Linked DNA regions of Oreochromis niloticus. The protein of the gene in region 1 purifies or fractionates together with the protein of each later gene. This does not show direct contact. Links are inferred from orthologs where the notes say so. Each region holds a gene or a part of one and is shown in the gene's direction. Other genes may lie near its edges. The genes, in order: chd8 and kpna5.

Evidence for each region.
Region 2: the proteins of chd8 (region 1) and kpna5 purify together in Homo sapiens (affinity purification with mass spectrometry; 3 studies listed by BioGRID and IntAct, with this or other methods). This does not show direct contact. The link is inferred for Oreochromis niloticus from reciprocal best matches to the Homo sapiens genes CHD8 and KPNA5.

Annotation. Positions count from the first base shown.
Region 1 is NC_031982.2:7,071,018-7,087,210, forward strand, and holds the start of chd8 (chromodomain-helicase-DNA-binding protein 8), read left to right. Parts: upstream 1-7,976; 5' UTR 7,977-8,132; intron 8,133-9,166; 5' UTR 9,167-9,267; coding exon 9,268-10,308; intron 10,309-10,424; coding exon 10,425-10,751; exon of another isoform or gene 10,752-10,874; intron 10,875-12,122; coding exon 12,123-12,236; intron 12,237-12,375; coding exon 12,376-12,878; intron 12,879-12,995; coding exon 12,996-13,107; intron 13,108-13,572; coding exon 13,573-13,779; intron 13,780-13,933; coding exon 13,934-14,002; intron 14,003-14,098; coding exon 14,099-14,154; intron 14,155-14,276; coding exon 14,277-14,394; intron 14,395-14,495; coding exon 14,496-14,579; intron 14,580-14,699; coding exon 14,700-14,837; intron 14,838-15,499; coding exon 15,500-15,621; intron 15,622-15,747; coding exon 15,748-15,991; intron 15,992-16,094; coding exon 16,095-16,193. Other genes in the region: cbln12 (cerebellin 12), read left to right, coding at 4,815-5,096, 5,475-5,594, 5,675-5,872. UniProt on the Homo sapiens protein: ATP-dependent chromatin-remodeling factor, it slides nucleosomes along DNA; nucleosome sliding requires ATP. Acts as a transcription repressor by remodeling chromatin structure and recruiting histone H1 to target genes.
Region 2 is NC_031976.2:1,266,389-1,282,912, forward strand, and holds the start of kpna5 (importin subunit alpha-6), read left to right. Parts: upstream 1-8,001; 5' UTR 8,002-8,105; coding exon 8,106-8,178; intron 8,179-11,372; exon of another isoform or gene 11,373-11,529; intron 11,530-11,551; exon of another isoform or gene 11,552-11,756; intron 11,757-14,371; coding exon 14,372-14,505; intron 14,506-14,975; coding exon 14,976-15,077; intron 15,078-15,162; coding exon 15,163-15,262; intron 15,263-15,739; coding exon 15,740-15,834; intron 15,835-16,482; coding exon 16,483-16,524. Other genes in the region: rwdd1 (RWD domain-containing protein 1), read left to right, coding at 313-456, 555-687, 772-834, 2,784-2,896. UniProt on the Homo sapiens protein: Functions in nuclear protein import as an adapter protein for nuclear receptor KPNB1. Binds specifically and directly to substrates containing either a simple or bipartite NLS motif.

The DNA of each region.
Region 1 (16,193 bases):
AGACATGACCAGCAACAATATTCAGGAACGCTGTGGTGTTTAAATAATGCTCAGTTGGTCTTAAGCTGAGGCTCCAGAGTGCAGTCATTTACATATTCAACTTAGAAGTGAAAGGTCCCTGATCCTTTCAATTCCAGGCAGAGTTACATCCCTCTGAGGTTGCGTCCCCCTTAACAATCTACCAAGCCAAACATCCAGTGCTACCTGCTGTAGCAAGAGAACAGCCAAAAGTAGCATTAGTTGGTATTAAGGGGCCCAAAGTGTACCAAGAAAATATTGCCCACACTATTAGATACTGGGCAAGATACTGAATAGATAGATAGATAGATAGATAGATAGATAGATAGATAGATAGATAGATAGATAGATAGATAGATAGATAGATAGATAGATAGGACCAATGGCATCTTTGGTATGATGAAGGACTGTAAGCAGTTTTCTATGTATGTAACTATGTAACACCTCTGTAGTATATAAGTTCATGTGCAGTGTTCCACATTGGGTCCAGGTAAGAGCAGTGCAGGTGATTGCCCTATGAACTCACAGCGAGCCAGTGAGATGATCTCCTGTTGTGTGCTCCGTGTAAGAAAGCACAACTTTGGACCTGATTTTTCTTGACATTGTTTGGAGTTCATGTCTGATAAAACCTAAAGAATGTGTTTGTGGGTGCTTTCATTAACACGTAGATGTCATTTGCAAATATTTCTCAGTTGGTTTCTATGGTTCACTGGAGGACACACTTGCCGACACTCAGAGACTGACAGCTTGAGCAAACAAAACAAAAGCTTTAATAAGATGCTGCTGGTAACTTACAAGAGTCTACGCAAATTCAAAAGCAGCAGACAACAAAATCCCAAATAAGGACACAAAATCTAAGCTGGCACTAAAAACAGGAAGACAAACATAGTGATCAACAAAGGCAGAGAACAGAGGAGCACAGACAAATACAAAGGTAGAGACATGAAGCTGAATACACCAGCAATCTGTTTAACAAACTCTGAGTCTAATGCTGACCTCTAATCCCGAGAAGAGAAACTCAGTTTTGAGTCCAGAATAGCAAATCAGAGTCAGTTCAACTCTGAATATGTTTGCATTGAGCTAAATAAAGAAAGCATCATCAATGGAGTTAAAACCATGATTAACCATCTATGAATGTGTTGAATAAATAGCAGATGATGTTTATGTTAAAAAGCACGAGTTTAATGACCTGAATTTTCTTCTTTGGGTAATGAAGTTGGAAGCATCATGTTTGTAATGCTTAAGTTTAAATATATTTATTCAGATGTAACGCAGTGGGGACAAAATGAAGCTGACAGCAATTGAGGATGTAGGTGTGGCTCAAAAGCATACATTTATAAATCTCTGTTTTGCATTTTAAAAGTTCTGTTTTGCTCCATAGAAACGGGCGAACAAGTTTAAGTACTACGAGGAAAGTAACTAAGATTTTTCTCTCTCCTTACAGTAACCAGTCCCTTGAGTCTGGACACAAACACAGCTCATCCTCTGTTGAGCATCTCAGATGACCTGCGCTCAGTTACACGAGTTAAAAACCGCCTGCCCTGCGCTGCTCATCCCGAACGTTTCGACCACTGGCCGCAGGTCCTCACCGTCCAGACCTTCTCCTCTGGGACTCACTACTGGGAGCTGGAAGCCGAGGGATTCTGGGATGTGGGCGTCTGCTACCGAAGTATTGGACGAAAGGGCAAAGAAGGCAATGCATTTGGGAACAACAAGGTACACGTGTGCCGCAGAGCCACAGTGGTTGATCACGCTCATTCCAGTGTTAGATTTTGTGTTTTCTTTGCTAACTAATAGAATGAGCAGGAGCCTCTGTTTGATGTCTGTCCCTGACATCTCTCAGTCTGTTTGGCATCAGTGAAAAAGATGATTTTTTGCTTTGAACACCACATCATTCATTCAGTCAAAAGTGAACCTTCTTTCTATTTTCCTCTGGTGCACTAAAGCAGTTCAACAATTGTATTCCAGTTCTATTCTTTCCTCGTCTATTCTTATGTGTACGTTTAATTTTATGTTTAGGTTTTTTCCTAAAATCACTGCCCTGATTTAACCGTCAGTGATCAAAGCATATTTTGCAGAAGGATGAGAACATTTACAGTGATACATGTCCTTGTCAACCACATGCAATTAAAGATAAAGCCAATACTTCCTTGGAACGCTGCAGTGATTTGTGCTCAATTTAAAATATAAATCAGTTACTAAAATTATCGCCAGATCAATTTTCCCCACATCAGTAATTGTTTGATAGTAAAGTTTCAGCTGACATAACAACATCTTCCTTGATTAAACCCCTTGTAGGTTTCATGGAGCTTGACACAGCAGCACGACAAAAAGCTAGCCGCCTGGCACAACCGCAGGAAGACCCGCCTCACATACCAAATGACTGGGAACCGCGTTGCTGTAGCCGTGGACTACAGCTCAGGCACCATCACCTACTCAGAGGTGGGACCGTCTAACAACCTGATCCACCTCCACACTTTCTCCACCACCTTTACTCAGCCGGTGTGCCTGGGCTTTGGTCTCTACAAAGCTGAGCTCAACAGTCGGATCACTATTGTTAAAGTCTGATGTGATGAGAAGGACAGCCGGGAGGATGATGATGATGAACTCTGTGCTGTTTTGGCCATTCCAAAATAAAGTGCTGTTGTTTTTTCCCGTCTGTGTAACTTACATAAACCTCTGTTGGAGCCTTTGCCATGAGCTGCTGTTTCTCTGCTCCCTGCTCTAAAACAGAGCTTTACCTCTTCCTCACCAAAGAGACAAAACTGTGTCTTCTAAAGCTGCGATCAGCTGACATGTGAAAACATTTCCAGAAGACACTCAAAGGGAATTTGATACTTCCCTAAACACTAGATGGAAAGGCTCATTTTAAAGGGGACCAATTATGTTCATTTTCAACTAAATATTTTTATATTATATGTTGAACTGTACTGTATAGACGCACATATGTTGGTGTCATTGTTTGAAACTTTAGTCATTTTTAATAATCCAGCCTTGTAGCAATGGATGTGACAGAAAACAAGGAAAAGCATATTAGGTCCCCTTTAAAAAAGATACAAATTAGCTTTAGATCAGGCTGCAACATTGTTCAGCACTTTGATTCCACAGTGATTAGAAATAAGGATGACTGTTGTGTATAAAGTAATGTAGTTGTAGAAAAGCTGGAAATTTGTTTGGCTGATATTAATAAGATAAACTTGAGCCTTTTTCTCACTCCAGCCTTTCTTAAACATCCCTGAAGCTCTACCTCTGGTTTGTGATTTCCTGTCTGTATCTAGGAGTGTCTAGACATTTAGTGCATGATCAAAGAAAAGCACAAAAGCAGCATCTTTATGGATCAAACGGTGCTGCGGATCCAGGAATCCAGCTCTATTTACCACATGCATAAAGACCTGGAAATAAATCTCGCTGTCTTGAAGATAGCGAAGGATCTTTTGATTCTTGTGAGGAGATCGATGTTTTGTTTGGGAATTACAGGGGGAAAAAGAGGAGAAAACAACTGCCACTCACTTTCTAACTTTGCTCTTTGAAGCTGCTCACACTTATTTATCTTTTATATTACTGTAAAGGTGAGTGGGCGGATGCAGCATAAAGGGTGAGAACGAAGCAGATGGAAAGGAGGGAGAGAGATAGAGAGAGAGAAGGGAAGGAACAGGGAGATAGACAGAGAGATGAGAGCAGTCTCTATCTTGGTTGCGATCAGCCATGCTGTGAATTAATGTGACAGAGGAGCGGAACAACAAGGATATTTCAGTCCTTCAGATATGGAATACACAATCCTTTGCACGGGAACAGGTGATCTTCTGTTTATTACTTTTATTATTTTCATAATCTCATAATTTTGTAGTCAGATCATGTTTAGTCACTTTTGATGAATAGCACAATGAATTGTGTAATACCTTGAATGAGGAAGCATGTTGCATTTGTCTCTGAATAACTTTGTTGAAGCTTAGAAGGAAACGTTTTCACCCTGTTGCTGATTTTGCAGAGATGAATGGATGTTATTTCAAAAATGCTACACTTTGAAATGGCATTGGAGGCAGGGGGCTTTGCATTTTACTCATTTCAGTGAGCTGAACCAACAGAAAGTCTTTCGAACCTGCAGAGAAGATGAACGTGTGTACGTGCGGCTGCAGCGTGTATGAGTGTGCGCAACAAGAGGCACAAGTGGGAGAAAGAGCGAGTGTGTGTGGCAGACAGATGGTCACTCAGTGGAGTTGTTCCCCATCTCTCTCTCTCTGCTTTCCCTCTGGGTCCTACATCCTCCCCCTGTCACCTCTCCAAAGTCTTACCTCATCTTTTTTTTTTCCCTCTCTTCCACACCTTTTCCATCCTCGTCTTCAGCCCGGACTTGGATCTTCACTCACCGTTCCGCCCCTTATCTTTTTTCTGTCTCTCCCTCTCTTCCCTTCCTCAGCTACATCTCTGCTTATTTTTTGCTGACGACATCAACTTGAAAATATCAAGAGATTTTTTTTCTGAGTGTCATTCTGGACCCTGTTGACACAGCACAAAGGACACTGAAGAGATTTGGGGATTTGTGTGGGGGTCAAAAAGGGGGAAACTTGAAAGAAAAGACTGACAGATATGACCAGCAAACCAATCTGAGTTAAAACTGCCTGAAAAACATAGACTAAATTTAAAAGAAAAACAGGTTTTCTTTCTCTTTCTGTTCTGATATAGAGTGTTTCTTTAGCCATAGCATGTCTATTTATTCTGCAGATTGCCCAGAGTGACTATTGTCCTTAGAAATTAGAGATATTTGAGTTAAAAAAAAAAAAATCTCAGGTTCAGTCATGCACCTCGGGTCAGTCCACCCTGACATCCTGCTCCTCCTGGGCATGCTCCTGTTGTGGGGACCTTTGGGATCCAGGGGCCAGAATGACACAGAGCCCATCATCCTCGAGGGGAAATGTTTGGTAGTGTGTGACTCCACGCCTTCGTCCGAGCCTGCCGGAAACGCCCTGGGCATGTCGGTGCGCTCTGGCTCGGGTCGGGTGGCCTTCTCCGCCAGCCGCCAGACTAACCACGAGCCGACAGACATGAGCAACCGCACCATGATCATCTACTTTGATAATGTGAGTTATCAGATATCTGTGTTTATTATGCCCATTTGTAACATACTGTGGCAAATTGTGATAGGTTTACTCTTTACAGTACAGAATGGGCAAATTAACACACACAAAAGCCTCTGTGCTATCATTGGTCAGGTGTCTTCTCCCACTGGGTGTGATAATGAGCTGATTGCTAAACTTTTGAACCTGTAGTGAAGCCACATAATGACAACATGGTTGTATTATGCTGCACAAGCTGCATGTCCATGGACATTTTAGGGGGAGGGAGGGATGTATGAAAATAGGTCTCAGTAGTTTGGAAGTAAGCGATCTGAACAGATGAAAAGAATGACCCATGTCGTGACTTTATCATCCCCCCTCTTTTTCCTGCTGTCCTCTCAGATTTTGGTTAACGTGGGCACTCATTTTGACCAAGAAAGTAGTGTGTTCCTGGCACCAAGGAGGGGGGTGTACAGCTTCAACTTCCATGTGGTGAAGGCCTACAATAGACAAACTATTCAGGTACGCCCACTCGACTCTGAGACTTATAGCTGTCGTTCCAGTGGATCACTCTCTTAATCTCGCTGGTTCCCATCTCTTAGGTTAGCCTGATGGTGAACGGCTGGCCAATGATTTCAGCTTTCGCTGGGGACCAGGACGTGACCAGAGAAGCCGCCACCAATGCCGGCCTGGTGATTATGGAGAAGGGCGACAAGGCCTACCTCAGACTGGAGAGAGGCAACCTGATGGGAGGCTGGAAGTACTCCACATTCTCAGGCTTCCTGGTTTTCCCCTTGTGAGAAAGATAGAGGGTTGAAGCGCTGCAAAGTGAGAATGATTAAGAGAAAAAAGGGGAAGAGGTGGTGGGGAAAAAGAAAGGCTTCAATCTGTAACCTTATATAGTGCATGAAAAGATGGCTTTTATGCAAAAATGAGATGATTGTTCAAATGGACCAAAAAGAAAATGAGAGTAGACGTCAAACAATTTCTCTGAGGAATTCATTTGCTCTGTTTTGTTTTGGGTGTTTTTTAATGTCTAAATGCTTGTTATAGGAGATACTTTGTGGCAAAATTCTAAAGTAGCCATTTAAAACGTGGGCTTCTGTGCTAGAGTACCTAAAAGCTTCTGTTCTTAAGTGTTTCAACACTGCTGTGCTCCACATGCCATCCTGTCAATGTTTGAAAAAATCTCTTTATTCTTGTGTGCTGTATGACTGGTGTTCCCCTATATGCCTGTTAGTATAATGCAACAAATGTTTATTTACAAAGAAATTTCTATCAAAGACCAAATAAAATAGTCTAAATCTGGCTCAGTATTTCACTTTGAGTATGCAAGCAGGAATGCTTTCAGACAATATCTGATGAATCACCAAGACTGCGACGGTTTAATCTGCTTATACAAGGCATCCCTTCCATTGTACCCTACCCAATGCCATGGCAGCTGTTTGTAAATATAGATCCCACCAGCAGAGTTGGCGTTGGCATGGACCGAAGGGACCAGCGTGGGACCCGGTATGAAGTGTGGTGTACGGTGGATGCTCCTTACAGGGCCGCAGACAGATGGAGGCTCTGTCGAACAGGCAAGCTCATCTCTGCAGGGCTGCCATGGATAAAGTGTGGTGTGCTGTCACATGTAGTCACTTACGCTTCCGTGGTTCATGCCCACCATCTCTCTCTCTCTCTCTCTGACTTCCTTTGTCATTTTCATCCTTGCGTTAACAGAATTATACATTTATGAAATTAAGATGATGAGTAAAAAATTCATAAAAATGGAAAAAGCCTAGATATTAATTCACGCTGTCATATTAATGCTCCCAATGAAGAATCTCTTATAATATTAACCTCAAGTCCTATGCAGGAAATAATGGCCTTTCTAAATAAATCTCAGAAAACACAATGAAATCTTGCAGTGTTTGCGCAAATGTTAAAGTGCTTTTCTTTTTTATACTTTACACCTAAAGGCCACTGTACTGATTGGTTCACTCTTCAGCCACGTAGAGTGGATAACCTCCGTTGTGCCCCCAGCCCCACAAGGACCTGCAAATACAACAAACTGTCTTCAAAGCCATTGGCAATTCATTTACTTCAAGATTTGCTCCACTCAAATATAATTGTATCTGTGTGGCATTCCTGTGATCTGACCTCAGAGGGCCCTATGTAGAAATCTAAGTATGAGATTATTTAAGCTTAGTTTACACTTATATGGTCTAATTAATTTGTGATTAAGGAAACTGACAAAAAAAAGAAAAAGAAAAAAAAAGGAATCTGGGGTAATAAGAGCCCTTTTCTGTCCCAGTGCCCTGAAAACTGCATACATAACAGACTGAAAGCTAGTAATTATATTTTAATGTTAGGCCACTAGAGGGCACCAAAGCTTAATTTAAAAAAAACTGAATCGCTTATGAAAGCGCCAGACCATTACATTAATACCCAGAGGAAGCTAATATTAATGTTCCAGGTGTACCAGTAACCTTGGGAAATATATAATACGCCCTCGTCGTCTGGTTATATATATCTAGAAACTAACAGACCGATATGACAACAGGTCTTCATTCATTTAATGATGTAAGCTGATTTCTGGGCTATGGCCAGTGTAATAAACCGCTGAAAAAAATTGATGGTGTGCCATTAACAAACAGGTCTTTTGACCGTGCAGTCCATGAACACTTCAGTTTATTAAAACAATGTCTATTTTTTTCCAGCCAGCTCTAAAACTGCTGCGCTTCCTATTTCGAGCATCTACAACAGCGAGACAGCAATGTTGAAGATCACCGAGCCAAACGATCCCAACTAGGCCGCATTTAGTGTTACTTCAACCAAACTATGACTCTCATCCCGCCCGGTAGCGGCAGTACGTCTGATGGACAGCTAGTCGAGCCAATGAAATTGCCGTATGCTGCCGGCTCGGGAGGAGGCTAACCAATGATCGTTTCACGGCACCAGAGGGGCACGCTTTCTGAGCTTTCTCTGGCAAGAATGTTAGTTCCTGCTCTCTCCTGGCCGTTTCCTGTAATCGTACAGTGTTGTGAGACTCAGAAAGCCATGTGTGTCGACGCAAAGGTAAATTTAGCACCCTGAAATTATTACTGTGAGAGTTGGGGCAGTAGATATGATGGTTATTTTCACGTATTTTTGCCGAAAATAGACGCAGGCCAGCCGAAACAGCAATGCGGCCTAACCTGTGTCTGAACGTTGACGGGCAATGGTTATTGTGGCACGTTGCTTTGGTTTGGTCCGGTTTGTTGATGATATTGAAGGAGTCCGGTGGACTGAATGGTTGATAGTAAATGACTGGAAAGCGAACTAACGGCGAAGAGGACACAATTCATCGTGTTTTTGAGTCTGAATGTGTTTACGGTGCCACACACGCCTTTGTAACAGGCACATTTTTGTAGCGGTAGAAGCTAATGCTAGCCGACGGTTTTGTGAGAAAGACTGCAATACGACCTGAGAGGAAAGCATCCTGTCTTTCCAGCATCACTGACCTAATCGTATGACTTCACTGCTCGCTATTTTCATTCACTAAATGTTATCTGCGTACTTTCTCTTTATATGTTAACACTTAAGCCGACGAGCACTGTTTTTGTGTTTTCAAAGCTTTTAATTTCACTTTGAAAGCGTTTCTGGACGGTGTGGCCACGAGTTGGAGGATGAATTCAAAAACTATACTTTTAATGTTTCGTCTCTAGTTTACAAGCTGCTACATCCTTCTAACATTATTTTATTTTATTTTATTTTTTTATGCGGTCCATTAACAGTACTAACCGGATAATTTCCACCACAGCCACTAAGATAAATAAAAGCGTGTTTACATAAAGTGATCCTTGTTTTAGTAAACTGTTCATGTCCTTTTAACCCTTAAGAGATTTCCACTAATTATGATCTTCATATCCACCAGAAAACCAAAATAAAAAAGTACAATGAGTATATTTCTTTGCTTCCCCCCTCCTTAACTTAAGAACCCTTGTACTAACCATTGGAGCCGTCACTTCACAGGTCTGAGAGACGTTATGCTGTAATAAATAGTGCAGCATTTCTTTGAACAAAGTCAGTAAGAAAATTGTGTCTAACTGTTGTTTCCTTTCCCTTCACAGCTGATTATCTAAAAATTGAGAAGAACTGGACAACAACTATTTAGTTTCCATCTCGGAGTCTTTTTAACATTGTGCCCATCTCCCTGTGTGGAGTGGGCAAGATGGCAGATCCCATTATGGACCTCTTTGAGGACACACCCCTGTTTAACTTGGATGCCCTACAGGACGACTCCTTTTCTCAGGGCTCCTCGGACCCGGTTGAGGAAGCGTTCAAGCTCGCTCTGGGCCAGGTGGATCCAACACCAGAGTCTGAGCCTGCTCCTGAGCTCGCATCTAACACGAGCCTCTGTGTTCCTGTAGAAGCTCCAGCCGTTCCGGATCCAGCCCCTGTTCAAGTCCCCACACAGCAGCCAGTGCAAGTGGCAACTCCTCAGACCATTTCCATAGCTGTAGCGCCTCCTATGACCCCTGCTCCTGGCCCTGCCCCTACTCCTACTGATACTGTGAATCAGATACAGGCCCAGACCACCATACCAATTGCCAGCAATGCCAGTGGGGCCACCAGTAGCACTGTCCTGTTGAGCTCGCCTCTGACTGTTTCTAGCTCTCCATCTACAACCACCGCCACCACCCAGCAGCTCACACAGATAACCCACCAGCTTACTCCCCAGCAGTTAGCTGCCATTACGCAACAGGCTGGTGGCAAAATTGTCATTCTCAAAGGTCCCCAGGGTCAAGCACAGGTGCTACAGACTGTATCAGGAGCCACGGGTCAGACTGGTGGAAAGGTCATCCGTGTAGTGTCTGGCACACCACTCAAACCCGGCATGTCCATCCTGCAGGGCGGAACAGTCTTGAATCAGGTAGGCCCAGGACAAACACAAGTGAAGGTGGGTGGTGCAGGAGTGCAGAGGCTGCTGCAGTCTCCTAATGGACCAGTGAAACAGGTGTTGCTCACGTCCATGCCCCAGCAGGTGCAGCAGACACAAGGCCAGCCAGTTCAAGTGCAGATTCCAGCAACAGCACAGATAACTCAAGGCCAAGTCCAACCCCAGGCTGCCCAGATTCAGGTCCAGGCACAGGGCCAAGTGCAGCTCCAAAACCAAGCTGCTCAGATCCAAGTCCAACCCCAGGCAGCTCAGATCCAGGTCCAGGCACAGGGCCAAGTGCAGCTCCAGCCAGCTATGCAGGCCCAGACGCAGGTAAGCAGACTACAAAGTGTCACCAGGTGACATTTGTTATACCATCAGGATAACTGCTGATTTCATGTTTTTTAATTAGTTCAGTTATAAATGTCCTTCTGCATTTCTCATTCTAGGGTGGAGAAGCGAAACGCATCACCTTGGTTCTTCAGCAGCCCTCCCAGGCTGGCTCTGCAACTCAAGCAGGTCAAGCTGTTGCAGCCCAACAGCAGGTCACCCAAGTCCAGCAAGTTCAGACGGCACAAGGAGGCCAACCTCAGCAGACCCAGGCCCCAACTAAACTGGTTCTGGGTCAGCTCCCCGGGGGAAAACTGGTGCTCCAGGGGAGCCAGCTAGCAGCCCTGACCCAGGCACGAGCTGCAGGCCAGGCTGGAGGGCAGCCCAAAGTTCTCACAATTCAGCTACAGGTGCAACAACAGCCCAATCAGCAAGGTGGTGTTAAGGTGAGAAACGAGTGCTGTAGGAGTTAGAGGTCTCTGCTTGTTTAACAGTGTTAATAAGTTTGAGTTTTGATGGCATGTTTTTGGGAAAATCATTCAAATTGCTCTTAATTTCTGTTGTTTCAAGTAAGTGGGGCCTTGAAGGTCTTTTTGTTGTTGTTGTTGTTTCCTTGCCCATCATCTTGAATACCGGTCTGCTTTTAATTTCCACCATTCCCAAGTACTATAGTCCTGAAATCTGTGAAAGTTTGCTCCTCCTCAAAGGTGTCACTGTGTAACTAATATTTTAGTTCAACATGTGTACCAGAATACACAGTGCTTCAGATGTACAAATGTAATGTTCTGTGTAATATGAGGTGACAAGGCAAAACACCTTGGCTTTGGAAATGTCTTTTAGCCAGGACAGATCAGACCAGATTAATCACCATCTTGGCTCCACTGACCGGTATCAGTTAGTATTCAGAGGTAGTTTCTCTGAACAGCTGAAGAGCATTGATTGTTTTGAAATGCACTTTGTGGTATGTGATGTGGAGGGACTGGCAAGCTTGGAGATAAAGGACGTTGCATTTTAAATATATTGACATTCTCCCCATGTCTTTGTTATGTGATATTTAATGGCTTCAGGTTGAAAAACCAGCAAATTTAGGTCTTTTAATAGGAATGTTAAGTTTATTATTACTCCAAATAATCAGATTAGACACACATGTGTGTCTAATCTGTGTCTAATCAATGTGTTCGTCTTTCTGTCAAGTTATTAGCAATTTTACATGGTCATTGTGGGTTTTTTATTTTTGTTTGTTTTGAGTTTTTTTAAACCAGTTTAAAGCAACATGACAGCAAAATTTTGAAATACCTTTGCTGTGTGTGCGTGTGCGTGCGTGCGTGCGTGCGTGGCACTGTGAACGATCACTACAGTAGCAACCCAACAGGCAAACCATGAAACAGGAAGGACTCATGCTAGTTTATCTCAAGCATTTGAACTTTCACAATAAGACAGAGCAAACTGTCTACTAGTAAACTGATAACATAAAGGCATTGTTTATTTATTTTTATTTTTCAGGCGTGTGTGCGTGTATTTATGATGTAGCCCACTCAAAGTCTGTATGGGTGGGAAACACCACCTAGCTTAAAGCAAATTTTGGAGTCAGAAGGAAGTCTCATCCATGTGCTAGAGGTTGCTTTTACAATTCGTATGCCATCCAGTTTTAAAAACTTGTTAATACAACTTATTCTCGGAAACTTACATTTAAAAACATCTTAATTTTTAGGAAGTGCCTTGTTATGTTTTCTTTTAATCTAATACTCAGTTTGTTTGTTTGTTTTTAAATCAGTCTGATCAATCTGTAACTTGATGTGTCTCGTTCATGTGCGCAGTACCAGCTGGTTTCAGGAGCTGGGAATACCGGCGGCCCTCAGGTGTTGCAAATATCCCAAGGCCAAGGAGGGCAGCGAGTGGCAGTACCACTCAAAATGCTTCTGCAGCCACAGGTAGACCTCTAATCTGCAGATTTCATTTATTCTCTACGTTAAAGTGGGGCTTTTATTGTGAACTCAGAGAAATTACAGAGAAAAATGTATTTTAATTTTGTAAAAATGTAATGTATTTTTAACCTTCTCTTTAACTCAGACAAGTGCAGCCTCATCCACTGGCGGCACCGTCTCTGTTGTGAAGGTCATCAACACTTCAGCAGCAGGACCGTCTTCTACAACTACCACTCCATCCCAGGCCATCCGCATTACCAAGGCGCCTGGAGAGCCTGCCTCTGTGCGGCGAGTGGAGATTCTCTGCAAGCAAGAGAAAGCTAACCGTATAGTGGCTGAGGCTATAGCTCGGGCCAAAGCTCGTGGTGAGAAGAACCTACCCAGAGTCCTTAACCAGGATGAGCTTCCAGCTACGCAGTCTTCCCCAGAAATGGGGGGTACCGTGACGGTGGTGTCAAGTGCTAAGAAGAAAACCAGCAGTGGAGGAAGTAAGAAGAAAAGCCCTGTGTCTGGAGGAACGGCACCCAAAACCGCAGGAGGGCCTGACAAAAAGGGAAAAGTCAAGGCACCAGGGGGAACAACTATAGTGGCGGGAGGCACAGTAATACCCAGTGCTGCGAACAAGAGCAAAAGCAAAGCTAAGGCAAAGTAAGCAAATGAAGATGTCTCATTTAAATGCACAGCTTATTTCTGTACATTTAGAAATGCAGCTTTGAAGAAAACCATATTTAACCCCCACCCCCCACCCCCACCCCCATCCTACAGTACTATTACTCTAGTTGGAGCAAAGAAAAGAAAGAGAAATGCGTCCTCAGACCACTCTGACGGGGAGTTGAGTCCTGCGTCACCTGCTGCGCTGGAAGATGACATGATTACGGTACAAGCACATGCATGCTCATAAAATCATACAACTAGACACAACAAATAGTGTTGAGCCATCCTTTTTTTTCTTTTTTTTGCCCCACTGTGAACACTTCATAATCGTACGGTTTGTTGGTAGCAATTGTTGACAGTACATTGCTCTGATTTGATGTCTTTGTGATAATAATTGCCACATAAAATAAACAGAAGATTAGGAATATGTGGAGTACTTCCACAGTAAAGACTTGTCCTAATAAAACCACCTGGTAGTTGCAGATGAGTAGCCTCCCTTCCTGACTCAGGTGGTTGACACACATCCAGTTATGTGCTGGGACGTCCCAGTTATGAACCGATTTGGAAAAAGGGGGCATATAAGTCAAGATACCACAGAAATATAATGAATTCTGAATAAAAACTGTCTAATGACACTCGGATCCTGCTGCACAGAATACACGTTTAAATTGCGCCCCTCTCTCATCAGAAGAGACGCTCCAATCGTGTGGTGAAGAGAAAGAAGTACACCGAGGATCTAGATATCAAGATAACGGATGATGAGGACGAGCAGGAAGATGTAGATGTTACTACAACCGCGGCAGCTGTGGCTTCCATCAGCAGTGGGGCACCAGTGCAGCTCAAACAGGAAGTGGAGCTGGATGGTGATGGATTGCCCAGTATGCAGTTCTTTGTGGTGAGTGTGGAACAATACCATTTCTTCTTATTGTCACGATGAGACGGATGCTAGTTGTGTGTATTTTGGGCTGTTTGTTTGTTTTTATTCACATATATGTATGGCTATTTGTGATGTTTGTAGTGTAAGTTTTTTACATGTATATATTTTACAGGAAAACCCAAGTGAAGAAGATGCTGCCATTGTAGACAAAATTCTCTCCCTGAGATTAACCAAGAAGGAAGTATGTTCACTTAATTAATTATAATGATTAAATTACTTAATGTAATTTAAGTTGTTGCGGGCATGATGGCTTCAAATTTGCTCTTTTATTTTTAAGGTGTCTCCAGGCCAGTATACAAATATTGAAGAATTCTTTGTGAAATACAAAAACTAGTAAGTTGCAGTGTCTCTCTGAGCATCTTTGACTCTGGCACGTGACACTTTTTTTTTTTTTATTGCTTGAGGAGATGGGTGAGTGAGTAAAAATGAGTACAACTGCACACTCTGGTTTTCAGTTCATACTTGCACTGCGAGTGGGCCACTTTGGAGCAGCTGGAGAAAGACAAGAGGATCCATCAAAAGATTAAGAGGTTCAAGACCAAGCAAGCTCAGATGAGGCATTTGTTCCAGGAGGTGAGCGGGAAGCACACGCTGAAACCTGTCAGTTCGGGTGTATCTCAGTTAGATGCACTTATCCTCATGCTGTCTGTGGCTAATGCTATTGTTTTCTTTAGGACGAGGAGCCTTTTAATCCAGACTACGTGGAGGTGGACAGGATCCTGGATGTGTCCCACAGTGTGGACAAGGACAACGGCGAGGTGAGAGATGAGGCATTAACCTTTGGCTATGTGGCCTAATTTTGGACATGGTTCTTTTGACCTCCCTTTGCAAAATTGCAAATTACTTGTGTTAATTCCCATTCTCTCTCGTCCTGTCAGCCTGTTATCTACTACTTGGTGAAGTGGTGCTCTCTGCCATATGAAGATGCTACTTGGGAGCTGAAGGAGGATGTGGACGAAGGCAAGGTTGAAGAATTCGGCAAGATCCAAAACAGACAACCTCGCCTTAAGAGAGCGGTGAGCAGTCATGTAAAAGATATAGAAATATATCTGTGTGTAATGTTGGAGGCATTATGTTGTGGCGTCTGATAGTACAACCATGTATTCTGTTGAACACAATATTACAGTGATGATCACAGCCACTGACGTGAAATTGTCAGGCCATAAGCCCAGAAATAGTATTGGTGACTGTAAAATGTGGAAGAGCACGTGATTGTGAAGATGCTGGCTTGGATGAAGATGTGTATCCAGCATCCGTGTTTTAGAATCCCAAACTACACTTAAATTAAACAATGGTGGGAGGAAGATGTAACTTTAAGTTTATCCCTGTGTTTCTCTGTTAAATGTTTAACGTAAACAGTTTAGAGAGACGCTTTATGTGTAACAGAAACAAACTGACACAACCCCCAGTGCACAAATCAAAGCTACTTCTCTGCATTTTCAGTGCAGGTTACCATTCACTGTGAACCAAACTTTAGAAAATCCTCAGTTGGTCCAACAGAATTAATCTTCTCTGCATCAAGATGCAGAAATGCTTCTTTGAATTTCTTTTTTTTTACCTTTATCTCCTTCCTTCCTTCAAAACTTGGCTTAATGGAAAAAATGAGAACTTATGTAAAGGAACAACAATGTTTCTTGTGAGTTTTCCATCTATTTTTTCTCTTCTCTCTTCTATTTAGGCACGGCCTCCTGCCAGTTCTTGGAAAAAGCTGGAGGAGACCAGAGAGTACAAGAATGGTAACACACTCAGAGAGTATCAGCTGGAAGGAGTCAACTGGCTGCTCTTCAACTGGTACAACAGGTATTTATCCCACACACTCTTTTGCTTAACACCATGGTCAGAAACATATTTTAACCTTCAAACTAGTTTCAGACAGTGTGAACATACCACCGCGTTTTGCACTCAAACGATGTTTCTTTATTTTAGGCAGAACTGTATCCTGGCAGATGAGATGGGTCTGGGGAAGACCATCCAGTCTATTGCACTCCTATCTGAGGTTTATGCTGCTGGTGTCCAGGGCCCATTTCTGGTCATTGCTCCCCTCTCCACCATCACCAACTGGGAGCGGGAGTTCTCTACGTGGACCAACATGAATGCCATCGTCTATCACGGCAGCCTGGCCAGCCGACAGATGATACAGCAGTATGAGATGTACTGCAAAGATGATAAGGTAGAGTTATTGGTTATGATCGCCAGCAATTTTTTTGTGTGTGTGTGTTTTTTTTGTAATATATTCATAACATGTATAATGAAAATCATGATTTTGTGTGCAGGAGCATTTAATCCCGGGTGCGTACAAGTTCGATGCTCTCATCACAACCTTTGAGATGGTGCTATCTGACTGCCCAGAGTTGAGGGAGATCGCCTGGCGT
Region 2 (16,524 bases), on another chromosome or scaffold:
TCAGCGGGAGGATACGCTTGATGAGAAAATTTACTTTACTTTCAATTTTGCATTTTTTATGTGAACTAAGAAGCTTCACAGGTGAGAAGTGAAACATCTCCAAGAACCTTACAGAACCTTTCTTTCCAAGCTCCTTAAACTACACAGCAATAATAATAATGATAGAAATGTAGGTGACATCAGACATCTCTCCATCTCCTTATTGCAAAAAAAAAAAAAAAAGAACCAAAAGTGTTGCACTGTTCTTGGACAGTTGGTGAAATGTGGCTCTATCAATGCAGTGTGCTTTGTATGTTTGTGTTCACTGTACAGGCAGAAGAAAACTTGGGCATGGTGATGATCTTCACCCTGGTTACAGCTGTTCAAGAGAAACTTAATACAATTGTTGATGTGATGAAAAATAGGCAAGAAGAGGAAAAGCGGAGGAAAGAGAAAGAGGCCCAGGAAGCAGAGAAGGTAGAATCCAGACTGGATTTATGACCATTCACCCTCTGCTTGAGTGCACACAATCAACCAAGGTTTTACTCCATTATAACAGTAGTTGCTTTCAACAGGTGGCTTTCCAGGGAACAGTGGTAACCATTGAAAACTTCCTGGCATGGAAAGCCAAGTTTGAGCTGGAAATGGCTGAACTGAGGAGGAAAAAGCAGAAAGAGGAAGAGCAGGCAGGAAAACCCAAACTGACAGGTACGTGGTGTTACTCAAACACATCAAAAACTGTAAAGATGATGACATACGTGTCCAGACTGAAGACCCTGCATCTGTCACCAGGTAAACAGCTGTTTGAGAGAGACCACAACCTGGACACATCTGACATTCAGTTCCTTGAAGATGGTAAGGACTGTTTCTGAGTGTTCTGCTTCTTTTTGTTATACGGACTAAACTGAGTCATTTATAGGACAGTGGAATCTAAACATAACACTTGTTTGGACGTCTGTGTTTGGAGGTATTCACTAGGCACATGATCAGTCATGATGGGCTGATGGATGGTTGTTTCATTCGGGATGGTGGTTTTGACACTCAGTAGTCCCTGACCTCCTCCCTTCCTATTAGTGTACAGTCTCAGTGTGCTGTGTCTGGGGTGAAACGCTCACGTTCTTGCCTCGGTCTCAGTGGCTTCCACCTTTTCCTTTGGCCATCCTATTATCCCAGCAGTGTTGATTGCTCGGATCTTGTTCTTCCCATTCAGCAGACTCCTCGGGTTTGCCTCACTCTCTGCAGGTATTTGGTGGTTGTAGTTTTCAGAGCTTCCTCTTTACGGTTTCCATTTTCTTGTGGGATTAAAAGATACTTATAGCTGTACTCAGTATCTGCAGTGTTGCCTTCTAGTAGTGCAATTCCCGACCAACATTTTTTTGTTACCATCCGACTACGCTTCAACAGTCCAAATGACATTCCGATGTTATTGCTGTAGATCCCAGCGGTGTCAGTCGACGGGTTTATCCTTCAGGAGTATGAGGTCTCTTGTCTGTCGTTACAGGGCGTTAGGTACGTGTAGTGACGGCCATATTGTCGGCAGGAAGTCGGACTAGTTTCTGGTGGATGCTGCCCTTTGTCACAGATTCTGTTATGGACGGTATCTAGGTGCAGCAGGTAGTGAAGGGTCTCTGTTTTGGTGGCATCAGGATTTCAGCTTTGCTTTTTGCGAATGTTGTGGTTCTCTTGGCTTCATCAGGTGGTGACCTCCAGCTTTCACTGGAGCGGTTTGCTGCCGAGTGTGAAGCAGCTGGATTCAGAATCAGCACCTCAGTTTCCGAGACCTTCTCATCTTGAAAGGGTGGAGTCAAACTCTGTGTCAGGGATGAGTTACTACCCCGGGTGGAGGAGTAATATACTTGCATATCTATATTAATGCTAATATATATTGTAATATATCTATATCACGGCTAAAGCACTTCTGGATGGATGCAAACTGCATTTCGTTGCCCTGTACCTGTGACATGTGCAATGACAATAAAGTTGAATTTTATTCTATTCTATTCTATTAAGTATGTCGGGGTCTTGTTCACAAGTGAGGGGAGAGTGGAATGTGAGCTTGTCAGGATTGAGCCACAGACTTTGTATCATCGTGAAGAGAGAAGTGAGCGTAAAAGCGAAGTTGTTGATTTACTGCGATCTGCCTTCCTACCCTCACCTGTGCTCATGAGCTCAGGTGAGTAACCAAACCAACAAATTTGCAGATATAAGTGGCAGAAGTAAGCTTCCTTTGAAGGCTCTCCTTTAGTGATAGACTGAGGAGCTCAGCTGTTTGAGAGTAGAGCCGCTGCTCAGATTAGGTGGTTCAGGCATCAGACTAGGAGGCCCCCCCTAACCTCCTGGGTGAAGCATTCTGGGCGTGTCCTACTTGGTGGGTGCTCCCATACAGACCCAGGACTTGCTGGACAGATTATATGTCTTGGTTGGCTTGTGAACAACTCATTGTCTGCCCAGATGAGCTGGAAGAGGTACCCAGGGTGATGGAAGTCTGGGCTTCAGACCCCGGTGACCCGAACCTGGATAAGTGGCAGAAAGTGGATGGAATTGCCTTTGTGTTTGTGTGGCTAGGGAGAAACAGGAACGGTTGAGCATGGATATGGATTGGCAGCAGGCAGAGACAAGTGAAAGGGAGAAAAAAATGTGACTTTCTAAGTGATATATCGCAATTAGCTGGGGGAAGATCTGATTGCTGTGTAAGGGTCACAGATCATCTGGGTCTGTTGAGAGAACAGCTGTGTGTGGATTTGGTAGGAATAATCTTTTTCCTGTGAAGTTTCTTCTAACCCCGTGGCTTTCTTCTTATGCAGCTGGAAACAACGTTGAAGTGGACGAGTCACTATTCCAGGACATTGAGGACTTGGATTTGGATGAAGATGACCCAGATTTTGACCCTATAGAGATGGGTAGTGATGAAGACTAAAGGCAGAGCAGGACGGTGGAATTCAAAGGCTTCAAGCATGATCGTAGGAACATGCTGCTCTTGCCCTGGACGCCGTCTTCTGGCCATTAAGGACATGTCTGCTTTTTTTTTTTTTTTTTTTTTTTTTACAAACTCAGAATGAAAGGAGAGGAAATTGTTTAAAAACACAGACACACACAACAGTTGGTGTTTATTTCAACTGCCTCGATTATTAACTCTGATAAAAATGTGTGTTCCCTCTGGGGGTTTGTCTTTAAGCTCATCCCAGTGTCAGCGATTTTCTGTCCAGGTGAGGGCACTAAAATGTCAGGTATGGCCAGAGAATAAAAGTCTTGCTTTGCTGAGGTTGAAGTAACTATACTCTATTACATGTGACCGCATTTCCAGAAAAACTGGAATATTTTCCAATGTGCAGTAAAAACATTCTGTGACAATAAATCAGGTGAGCAGTTATTTACGTGACCAAAGTAGGATTGTAGTAGTTGGACTGACTAACTCCAAATCTGAATTTGATGGCTGTAACACTGTGGGAAAGTTGGGCATGTTTAGCAGTTTGTTACATCAGTTTTCCTTCAAATAGTTTAATTTGGAAGTGAGTCTAAGATGTGTAGCAGTGGTTGCATTGTTGCTTCAACGGTCCTGGGCCGGAGCCTTTGTGCATATACATATAAATAAGATTAAATCACAAGCATATGTGAGCAGGTAGAGCATATGTGTGTGTATATACACACACATATATATACACACACTACCGATGAAAATGTTTGGAACAGCCCAATTTTTCCAGTTATTTAATGCAATTCAAGTTTAAGTCCAATGAATATCTTAAAATAGAACAAACAAGTGATGAACTGCCAGGTTGAAATAAAATATGTGGTAAACCAAAAGTGAAAAATAATGCACATTTCAGAATTATAAAAAAAAAGGTCTTTTTCAGGGAACACAGCATGGGTTAACAATTTAAAGCTGCTCTGCAGCAATGGAGACTCGAGACTTGAAAGTTGGTGCTACTAATTCCTGCAGGTCCAACCCCCTCTGTCTGTTGGACACACTGTGGTACCCTGATGAGCATCAGATGAACGGTACTGTACTGCAGAAAGTAGTGTGTTGGTACAGAAATGGTGAGAAAAAGGTCATTAACAATGGAAGAGAGACAGACCATCATAACACTTATAAATGTAGGTCTGTCCTACAGAGAAACTGCAAAGAAAGTCAAGGTGTCAGTGAGTACAGTTTCCTTCAGCATCCAAAGGCTCAGAAACAAACTGTGACAGGAAGGTCTGCAGACCCAAAGACACGACTGAATCAGTTACAGTGTGATAGGCGGCTCACAGGACAACAGCTTCAAGCACAGCTTGATAGTGGTCGTAGTAAGCAAGTCTCAGTTTCAGCTGTGAAGAGAAGACCCTTCACAGTCAGACCAGGAGTGACATGTTTAGCCGCATGTTCTCCTTAAATTGCTGGCTGTCTGAGTGGTGTCCCAGAAACGATGTGGGCTTCATAGATAATTGGCAAACCTTCTGGAGGAAACCTGGTCTTGTTGGGAGAGACGGCATCCATCCCACTTTGGATGGAGCAGCTCTCATTTCTAGAAATATGGACCAATTTATTAAACCCCCCAAAATATGACTATCCAGAGTTGGGACCAGGAAGCAGAGTTGCAGTCTTACACGCCTCTCTGCAGCTTCTCTCCTCCTGCTACCCCCCCAAAAACCCATCTCCATTGAGACTGTGTCAGCTCCCAAACAGAGAAAAAACAAACTAAAAACCAGCAATAAACAACTTAAACATAAAAAATCACAAAGAAAGAACAATACAGTATCCACATCTGAACCAAAGAGTAAAACAGTGAAATGTGGATTATTAAATATTAGGTCTCTCTCCTTCAAGTCTCTGTTAGTACATGACTTAATAATTGATCAACAAATCGATTTACTCTGCCTTACAGAAACCTGGTTGCAGCCGGATGATTATGTTAGTTTAAATGAATCAACACCCCGAGTCATTCTAACTACCAGAAACCTCGAAGCACAGGCCGAGGGGGCGGTGTGGCAGCAATTTTTCACACCAGCCTATTAATCAACCAAAGACCAAGACAGACTTTTAATTCATTTGAAAGCCTGATGCTTAGCCTCGTCCACCCCAGCTGTAAAACTCAGAAACCAGTCTTACTTGTTATCATCTATCGTCCACCTGGGCCTTACAGAGTTTCTGTCTGATTTCTCAGACTTTTTATCTGATTTAGTGCTCAGCTCAGATAAAATAATTATTGTGGGTGATTTTAACATCCATGTAGATGCTAAAAATGACAGCCTCAACATGGCATTTAATCTGTTATTAGACTCAATTGGCTTCTCTCAAAATGTAAAAGAACCCACCCACCACTTTAGTCACACTCTAGATCTTGTTTTAACATATGACATAGAAACTGAACATTTAACAGTGTTTCCTGAAAACCCTCTGCTGTCTGATCATTTCCTGATAACATTTACATTTACAATAATTGATTACACAGCAGTGGAGAGTAGACTTTATCACAGTAGATGTCTTTCTGAAAGTGCTGTAACTAAGTTTAAGAATATAATCCACCCACTGTTATCATCTTCAATGCCCTGTACCAACATAGAGCAGAGCAGCTACCTGAACGCTACTCCAACAGAGGTCGATTATCTTGTTAATAATTTTACCTCCTCACTACGTACGACTCTGGATACTGTAGCTCCTGTGAAAACTAAGGCCTCAAATCAGAAGTACCTGACTGCGTGGTATAATTCTCAAACACGTAGCCTAAAGCAGATAACTCGTAAGCTGGAGAGGAAATGGCATGTCACAAATTTAGAGGATCATCATTTAGCCTGGAGAAATAGTTTGCTGCTTTATAAGAAAGCCCTCCGCAAAGCCAGAACATCTTACTATTCGTCACTGATTGAAGAAAATAAGAACAACCCCAGGTTTCTCTTCAGCACTGTAGCCAGGCTGACAAACAGTCAGAGCTCTACTGAGCCAACCATCCCTTTAACGTTAACTAGTAATGACTTCATGAACTTCTTCACAAATAAAATTCTTATCATTAGAGAAAAAATTACCAATAATCATCCCACAGATGTAATATTATCTACAGCTACTTTCAGTACCATCGATGTTAAGTTAGACTCTTTTTCTCCAATTGATCTTTCTGAGTTAGCTTCAATAATTAATTCCTCCAAACCATCAACGTGTCTTTTAGACCCCATTCCTACAAAACTGCTCAAAGAAGTCCTGCCATTAATTAATGCTTCGATCTTAAATATGATCAACCTATCTCTAATAATCGGCTATGTACCACAGGCCTTCAAGGTGGCTGTAGTTAAACCTTTACTCAAAAAGCATCTCTAGACCCAGCAGTCTTAGCTAATTATAGGCCAATCTCCAACCTTCCTTTCATATCAAACATCCTTGAAAGAGTAGTTGTCAAACAGCTAACAGATCATCTGCAGAGGAATGGCTTATTTGAAGAGTTTCAGTCAGGTTTCAGAGCTCAGCACAGCACAGAAACAGCTTTAGTGAAGGTTACAAATGATCTTCTTATGGCCTCTGACAGTGGACTCATCTCTGTGCTTGTCCTGCTAGACCTCAGTGCAGCATTCGATACTGTCGACCATAATATCCTATTAGAGCGATTAGAACATGCTGTAGGTATTACAGGTACTGCACTGCAGTGGTTTGTATCATATCTATCTAATAGACTCCAATTTGTGCATGTAAATGGAGAGTCCTCTTCACACACTAAGGTCAATTATGGTGTTCCACAGGGTTCAGTGCTAGGACCAATTCTGTTTACATTATACATGCTTCCCTTAGGCAGCATCATTAGAAGACATAGCATAAATTTTCACTGCTATGCAGACGACACCCAGCTCTATCTGTCCATGAAGCCAGGTAACACACACCAATTAGTTAAACTGCAGGAATGTCTTAAAGACATAAAGACCTGGATGGCCGCTAACTTTCTGCTTCTTAATTCAGATCAAACTGAGGTTATTGTACTCGGCCCTGAAAATCTTAGAAATATGGTATCTAAGCAGATTCTTACTCTGGATGGCATTACCTTGGCCTCCAGTAACACTGTGAGAAACCTTGGAGTCATTTTTGACCAGGACATGTCCTTCAATGCACATATTAAACAAATATGTAAGACTGCTTTCTTCCATTTGCGCAACATCTCTAAAATTAGAAACATCCTGTCTCAGAGTGACGCTGAAAAACTAGTTCATGCATTTATTACTTCCAGGCTGGACTACTGTAATTCTTTATTATCAGGATGTCCTAAAAACTCACTGAAAAGTCTTCAGCTGATCCAAAATGCTGCAGCAAGAGTCCTGACAGGGACTAGAAAGAGAGAGCAGATTTCTCCTGTATTGGCTTCCCTTCATTGGCTTCCTGTTAAATCCAGAATTGAATTCAAAATCCTGCTCCTCACATACAAGGTCTTAAATAATCAGGCCCCATCTTATCTTAATGACCTTGTAGTACCATATCACCCTATTAGAGCACTTCGCTCTCGCTCTGCAGGCCTACTTGTTGTTCCTAGAGTATTTAAAAGTAGAATGGGAGGCAGAGCCTTCAGTTTTCAGGCCCCTCTTCTGTGGAACCAGCTTCCAGTTTGGATTCGGGAGACAGACACTATCTCTACTTTCAAGATTAGGCTTCAAACTTTCCTTTTTGCTAAAGCATATAGTTAGGGCTGGACCAGGTGACCCTGAATCCTCCCTTAGTTATGCTGCAATAGACGTAGGCTGCCGGGGATTCCCATGATGCATTGAGTTTTACCTGTCCAGTCACCTTTCTCACTCACTATGTGTTAACAGACCTCTCTGCATTGAATATCTGTTATTAATCTCTGTCTCTCTTCCACAGCATGTCTTTATCCTGTCTTCCTGCTCTCACCCCAACCGGTCGCAGCAGATGGCCCCGCCCCTCCCTGAGCCTGGTTCTGCCGGAGGTTTCTTCCTGTTAAAAGGGAGTTTTTCCTTCTCACTGTCGCCAAAGTGCTTGCTCATAGGGGGTCATATGATTGTTGGGTTTTTCTCTGCACCTGTGAAGCGCCTTGAGGCGACTTTTGTTGTGATTTGGCGCTATATAAATAAAATTGAATTGAATTGAATTGAATTGAATTGAATTGAACTTCCTGCTGTAGGTTTGACAGGACGAGCTGCAGCAAGAAAGCCAGATGTCAGAATCAGACAAAGAGGCTTGGCTGGCCCATGAAACACCACCATTGGACTACTGCAGACTGGAAGAAGGTATTATGGACTGATGGATCAGAATCTGGAATCTTTGGTTGTTAAGTGTTAGCAAATACAGAATGATTATCTGGTTGAAGGTAACTTCAGAGAGGTGATCAGTGAGCAGCAACATGGTTTCACTACATACGTGATGTTTCCTTTGATAGTGTTGATGAAGACAGAAGGTGTTACACTGTCTCTTTAGACAAGAACTGTGCTACTGTATGACGACTGGTTCCTATATAGTACATTTCTGGTGTACTTGACCCCAAGTACTTTATTCAGGGAGCTCTTTGGGTGTAGACATCTATTAAAGACTGTACAGAGAAAACCATGTTGGCATCATCAGCTGATGGATGGTGACGAGATGAGGTGATAGTCCTGCTTATACTAAAGTTAAAGACAAAAAGTCAAAATGATTCATCATCCATGATGTCACATAGACAGTAACTCAGATCTGCACAGCTTCTGTTTTAAACACTGTAGTCAGCTGCAGAAAGAGAACATGAGATTTTCTCTGACAGCATTCAATACAACCTGATGTAAGGTCAAAGGTCGTCACCTGATGAAATAAAAACTTCAACAAGGAATTCTTTCACACTGGGTCTTGCCAATAGTGTGTTATTTACCATAAAGTAATTCAGAGTCAGTCATATCTGAGTAATGACAATGTAATATATTGTGGAGGTAAGCATTACGACACCAGGTTCCCGTGCGCGCCGAAGACGTCCCTAAGACCGCTGTCATTACCCCCTTCGGCTTGTTCGAGTTTTTGCGCATGCCGTTTGGCCTGAAAGGTGCCGCCCAGACCTTTCAGCGGCTGATGGACTCAGTTTTGCGTGGGCTGCCGTTCGTTTTTGTTTATCTGGACGATATATTGGTGGCCAGCTGCTCAGCGAGCCAGCACGAGTCCCATCTGCGCCAGGTTTTCCAGCGTTTGGCAGCGCACGGCCTGATCATCAACCCTTCCAAGTGCCAGTTTGGGTTGCCTGTTCTGGATTTCCTCGGGCACCGCATTTCCGCTGAAGGTGTGGTTCCGTTGCCCGACAGAGTCCAGGCCGTTTCAGCTTTTCCACGCCCCACGTCGGTTAAAGCGTTGCAGGAGTTCTTGGGGATGATAAATTTTTACAACCGCTTTCTCCCCAGAGCTGCCCACCTGCTGCAGCCACTCTATGCTGCCTTAAAAGGTAAAACAGCCAAAGATCCGGTTGACTGGCTGCCGGAACGCATCCATGCGTTTTCCGCAGCCAAGTCTGCGCTGGCTGACGCCGCCCTGCTGGCACACCCGCTCCCGTCGGCGGAGATCGCGTTGACCACCGACGCGTCCGACGTGGCAGTGGGTGGGGTGTTGGAACAGCGGGTTTCAGGTCTCTGGCAACCGCTCGCCTTTTTCAGTCGTACGCTCCGGGATGCCGAACGCAAGTACAGTGTTTTTGACAGGGAGTTGCTAGCCCTGCACCTCGCGACACGGCATTTTCGTTTTTTCCTCGAGGGTCGCAACTTTACTGCGTACGTTGACCACAAACCTTTGACGTTTGCGATGTCCAAGGTCTCTGACCCATGGAGCGCACGCCAGCAGCGCCAGTTGGCGGCCATTTCGGAGTTTACCACAGACATTCAGCACGTGGCTGGTAAGTCCAATCACGTCGCTGACTGTCTGTCACGTGTGTTGGTTTCTCCAGTGTATGTCGGCGTCGACTACGCTGCCATGGCCGCCGAGCAGCATGCTGACCCGGACATCCTGGCGCTTCAGTCAATGAAAACGGGCCTCGTGCTGGAGGACACCCCGGTGTGGGACGGCGGTCCGCGCCTTCTTTGCGACGTTTCTACCGGCCGCCCCCGCCCGGTGGTTCCCCTTTCGTGGCGTCGTCGTGTTTTTGACTCGGTGCATGCCCTCTCTCATCCCGGCGTCCGGGCCTCGGTCAAGCTGGTCAGCGCCAGGTTCGTTTGGCCGGGCCTTCGCAAGACGGTGAAAGAATGGGCGGCGGTTTGTGTCCCATGCCAACGCTCAAAAATCCACCGGCACACGCAGGCACCCCTCGAACCTTTCCGTATCCCCGGTCGGCGTTTCGATCACGTCGGGGTCACCAATGTGGAGGTAAGCATTACGACACAGAGCTCTCAGTTCACACTCCTTCTTTATTTGTCTCCAACATCAACTGGACATATCGCGCCACAAAACAGAAGAACACACTTCCTCAACACTGGGTGTGAGTGGAGCCCTCTAGTGGTCCACCACAATATATAGATTTTTACTGTATAGCGTTCTACAGGACTGAAGGAGGTGCTGGTAAAGACTACGAGTCCTGCTTGATCCCTGCACTGAGATCTGGCACAGGACAGCTGTGATGAAAGACCTCTGCACCCAGGAGACACAGTTTGGTCCTGATGGTCTCCTCATTAGGTCTTTTCCAGGCTGAATGTTGACGATCATAATATCATCATATATATTTAATCTCTCTAATATTCTGGGTATTTATATTTGAGGTATTTCTTCTATTTTGTAACTTTGTTACATAATGTATAATTTGATTTAGTTCAGTCTGCTCCTGTTGTCTTGGCGCAGCTGTAACCACATCATTTCCTTAGGGATTAATAAAGTATACTGATTCTAATGTGGAATTTGGATCCTGTTATCAAATGCAAAAGAACAAATTACACTTGTATGAAACCTGCTGCTGCTGTGTTTTTAGATCTAACGAGCTGTAGAGTGCTCATGGATCTAAAACTGTTTAAATCTTCAGGTTTATATCATCCTCAGTCTTGTTTCAAGGACAACATTTAATTTCCAGGCAATTCTTTCACAGTACTCTGTGGAGTGTGCAGCTGATGTCATCTCTGGGGAGAGTGCTGAGAGTGCTGAAGCATTCAAACATAGAGACTATTAGAGTAACACAGGTGTGTCGCATTGCTATCTAATTAACAACAGGGCCTACAGAGTGAATGATTCTTATAGTATCAAGTTAACAATCAGAATCAGTCTATGCGAAAGAAGACCCCCTGAACACAAATCAGCGTGATGGGAATTACTAATAATGGCAGAAAAGCATCTTTGGGAAAAATGAAGAGAACTTTCTTGTCCCATCCGCTGATCTGTGACCTATACCGCATCAGACACCAGGGGGCGAAAGAGACGTTTGGCTTCATGTTTGTGGAGCGCTGGGTCGTCCATGGGGAAAATGGGGGTGATTTGGCGCTTTCGGCTTTCCGTACTATACCGGTGGACGGAAACGGAGGTGTTGTTGACGCGCGGGGTTTGCTGGGAAAGTTTTAGTTTGACGCCATTTTGGATTAAGAAACAGAGGGAGTAGTCGAAGCTGTAGGTATTTCACAGCCGTACGTGTTTCAGCTACATTAGATCTTCACTGGGTAAGAATCGGGGAAGGCTACGTAATAAGGGTAGAGTTAGTAAAACCGCTGCATTGAATTTACAGCAGAGATGTTGACCACAAGTTAGCATTAGCCATCGAGTTATTCGCGAAGCTAATTTAGGGTCTAACCAGGAATAACTTGACCAAAATCCGTTTTGTTTTGTTTCACGGAGTGAGGTTAGTTCCTGCAAGCCAGTAAAACGACGTGTTACGAAATCGCATAACGTGGGTATTCAATGTTCATGTTTTCTGTTAAATGTGTGCCTATACTCTCAAGAGGGGAGTGATTTAAGCAGTTAGGCATGACCTCCTTCCTGACCGGGAAAGCGGGTCGTGTCCACTTCCTTGATAAAGAAATATCCTAGTTTAGGAGCGGCTATCGCTGTCATTATTTACAGCCATAAGAACGCTTCAGTTTAGAAGAAAGTCAGCGTTATCGCTCATCATCTGTGGAGGTGCTCTTAAGATCTTGGGTAGGAGAACTCACTTGGAGGTGGAGATTGCTGTGACCTTAAATACTCTACAGTTTTCCAGGTTATGCTGCATGTCTTCTCCGACTTGCTGAATATTCCCGAAACGATTCAAACTTGGTGTAGATTTAGATGGAAACGAAGTTCCGAAGGTGAAGCCATTGTTCGAAAAAGCGCTTTACTTTTGGAGGTGTGGTTCGTTTTGTTGCAGAGATGTACCGTTTCTAGCAAATTCTGTGGGAGACTTGGACTATTGCTCTTTAATTGCTGTTGAACTGCTTCTATTGTGCTATTTTCTGTGGCTACAATAACAAATAAAAAACAAAAAAAAGAGTGCACTCTAATTTTGTAACCAAGTTTAAATAATAAGGGGTTGAAAGTAGGACTGCAACGATTCATCGAGTAATGCGAATAATTTGATTATAAAATTTACTTCGTTTAATGCATGGCTCTGAATTATGCAGATGAAATGTTAACTTGGTCTGAGACCATGTTTAAGTTATACAGCTTGGATGGAAGCGATACCTGCAGCAAAGAGGGGTTTGAGTCTAAAGGGCGACATTCATTTCAAGGCTTTCGTAACATTTTTCACATTGAAAGTGGAATTGGGTTGATATTTAAACATATTAAAATAAAAGCTTGTTTTACGACAGGTTGTGTGGTAAGCCCCGCCCTCTGTTCAAAGATGGCCGTTCACAGTGGACATAGATGCTTCTTTCACTCCTCTTTCCAATCATCTGTGTTCTCTGTCCAAAATGTGAACATTGGCATCCTTGAAAGAGTGACCTTTGACCTTTAGATGCAGCTGTCCAGCTGACAGAAACAAACAAAAGTCTAGATAGTGACTATAAAACCCGCTGAGAGCAGTCACAGGTATCACAGCTGGTGTATTTAACGTGTTCCTTGGTGTGTGGGGAGACGTTGACATGTGGAGCTTACCACAGTTTTCATGTTGACTTTTAAGCCGGTAGAATAAATTTGTGGTACTGCTACCTTTTGTGGCATAGTTTTATGGCATGTTTTGAAAAATACTGCATTTTGTTCGACATCCAAACGACAGCGAGTCTCATTCCTTCGCTCATCTGAGACTTCTGCTGTCGCCATAATTCTCTCTGTCTGGTAGTATATAAACGCGCATGCTGGGCACATTCCAGCCGGTAGGAAATTTTCCAGTTGGCAGGTGTGAATAAATGATGCATTTGCAGCGTGTGGTAGGAAAAAAACCTCACAGTGAATTACATGCAGACAGTTTTTACGATGCAGCCATTTTAACCGATGTACATGGAAAACCCCGCGATACATCGGGTATATTCGATATATCGCCCACCCCTACCTGAGGGTTGTTAGGTTGGACGCTGAATTATTGATATTATTATTATTATTATTATTATTATTATTAATTACCATCTACACCATCATGTCTTCTTTTCAGCAGCATAAAAGCGTTGCATCAAAGCACAGGGCAAACTCGAGAATGCTAATATGTTCGCTTTCCGTCACTGCAGACACCGCTTAGTCTTTTAAAGGTTTACAGACACAAACTCACTCATTCACTTGTCAAGACAGTGAATCGCCCTATTGACTAACTAGAGAAAGATAATGTGTCAGTGCCATCAACTCCTACTGTGCTTTACCAGTTCCTTTTTTTTTCAAGCAGTTTTAAATGTATTGGAAGAGAGAATAACAATCATTGACTCAGTATATAGAAATAATAATCATAGCATTACTATAAGGACTCACAAATGTCAGCAGATTTGTGGGGGCGATTGCTGAAATGATCGAATGGACATAAGAGAATGTAGTGTGTGTTGCTAGCAGCCTGGACAATCACAGAGTGGTCCCAAAGCCACTCTGTGTGCTTAGGTGGTGCCTGGTTTGACACTTGGCATTCAAGTTCAGTCTTTGTTTGATCAAGCTGCAAAAAGTTTTTTTAGGTACCGTTCCCCATTTCTTTGCCTTCATATGTTCCTGTCCTGGACACCTACAGACAATTTGTTGAACTTCATAGCTTAGTTTGTGCTCTGACATGCACTGTCAACTCTACGGGATCTTATAACAGCAGGCACGTGCCTTCCCAAATCATGTCCAATCAACTGAATTGTGCTTAATTTTGAGTGTCATGGCAAAGGCCGTATTTTAATCTCGTCCAGTGCAAGTAAATGTGATGAGGGTGTGAGGATAAATGCAAACTGCAGCTTTACTGTAGGAGCCTTTTCTATAATTGTCCCACACAAACCAAACAAACTGTATTGTGTTTCTATTTGTGCCGCGTACACGCTGCTTGTTGATGTCATTTCATATGTTGTAAACTCAAATGTACCGAGGCTTCAGCATTTGATGATGATTGCATCGATCTGCTTAAATCCTCAGACACAATGGCGAGTCCAGGGAAAGACAACTACAGGATGAAGAGCTATAAGAACAAAGCGTTGAATCCTCAGGAAATGCGTCGAAGGAGAGAAGAGGAAGGAATTCAGCTACGCAAACAAAAAAGAGAGGAACAGGTGATCTTTACTAACATTTAGTGTATAAAATGGAATTAAGCTTAACCGAGTTCAACACGTGTGGGACTGTTATGGTCCTGTTTGGACCTGCTGTGTTCTTCCTATCAGGGTGTGAGGTTTGCTCTCCTCTGCCTTTGCTGCCAGCTAACTGCACTCAGCAACTGGGGCTCAAGTTCCCATTAAAGTTTGAGTTGTGTCCATGTGGCTTCTTACTCGTCTGTGTGTTTGGTTAACATTTGATTTTACTGAGCTGTTGTTTTTTTGACAGTGACTGGATTGTGTTTCTCTCTTTACTTTGGTCCTGATTCTTCTCCGTCTCCATTTTCAGTCTGGACTTCTTTATAATATTCAGGCTGCGTCTCTGCTCTGATCACTACTGTCTCCTGCAGCCTTTCACTTACATTTGTACGTCTGTGCAGTTTTTTGGGTTTTTTTTAATGTGTCGTTTGGCTTTGTCTGTATGACTGCAGCTGTTCAAGAGAAGAAATGTCTGCATACCTTCAGCTGATGACTCCATGCAGGAATGTCCAATCCAAGATCCAGACATCAGCTCCACAGTACCCATCACAGGTGTAAGTGTAAACTCCCTTTCTCCCTGTGAGTTTGCTTTGCTGTAGTCTGAACTAAACATCAACTCTGTCTGATGCATTTGTGCAGGATGGAGTCATAACAGCAGATATGATTCAGATGATCTTTTCTGAAGACCCTGACCATCAACTAATTGCTACACAGAAATTCAGAAAATTGCTTTCCAAAGGTGTGTGTCTGTGACGTTTAATGGAAGATTCTTGTTTTTGTAGTCAGTTTACTAAAAGAGAAATAACAGTTTGGAGCAAAGTTGAACAGAGTAGCTGCAAAGTTATTTTATTCTGCTTTCACCTGGCTGTCAACAACAGACTCCGAGCTCTGCTCTGTGTGCAGCTTCTGTAAAGCCTCGTTTCTACAGGAGCAGTGCTGCCTCGGTATCAAAATACTAAAGTAATCATTTGCCAAACTTTAGCAATGTTGCACCACACCTGTACTGACTTACATAATAGAGATTAAACCAAGAGAAACACACGCAACGACCTGAAAAAGAAATCTTGCTCTTTGAGGTATTTTTCTGCAAAACACAAATTTAATTGGTTTTCTGAAACCGACCTGAACATTTCACAGCCTGGTAATCTGTCTGTGAAATGCCTTTAACCCTTTAGCAGGCTCGTGCTCAAAGTGTTCACTCGTTTCTTTTGCACAGAACCCAGCCCACCCATAGATGAAGTGATTTCCACTCCTGGTGTTGTGACTCGGTTTGTGGATTTTCTGAAGCGGAGTGAAAACTGCACACTACAGGTCAGAGACTCCAACAATACATTAATCTGAGAGTAGCAGGACATTCGGTCATTTGAATGTCTGAATAGTTTCACTATCAGATAACAGAAGTGTTCCTGTATCATGTGTTCACCATGTGACGTCTCCAAAACTCATCAGACGTCTACAGTCAGATTCATGCTTGTATTGCATGTATTTAACTTTGTCCTTTGATTAATTTGTTATTCATCTCAAAGCGAGTGGGTGACATGGTGTTTCACAGGGCAGCAGTTTACATGTTGTTTTGTTATTAATCACATTTGTATTTATTTATTATTATTAATAATACCTAGAATGTTGAAACGATTGGTGGGAGTTACACAGCTATTGTGAGCATTGAATTAAGAAGCTTTGTGAGCCTGTAAACTTCCAGTTATATTGTGAAAGTGGGCTGGGCTGGCACGCTTATTAGTAAAAACAATGAAGTGCTATTAGAACTCAAAGCTGTTTCTGATCAAGCGAAATGTCCTTATACTTTGTGGAGGTTTGTACTAGCGTCCCAGCAAAAACGACAGAGAATAATATTTCTGAAGACACTGAGTGTGCCAGTATACTCGTTGTCGTCGTCGTTGTTGTTGTTGTCGGCATCATATTGTTTTAACCGTTGTACACGGTGTGTGCTCGTAACAGTTCGAAGCAGCCTGGGCACTGACCAACATCGCCTCTGGGACC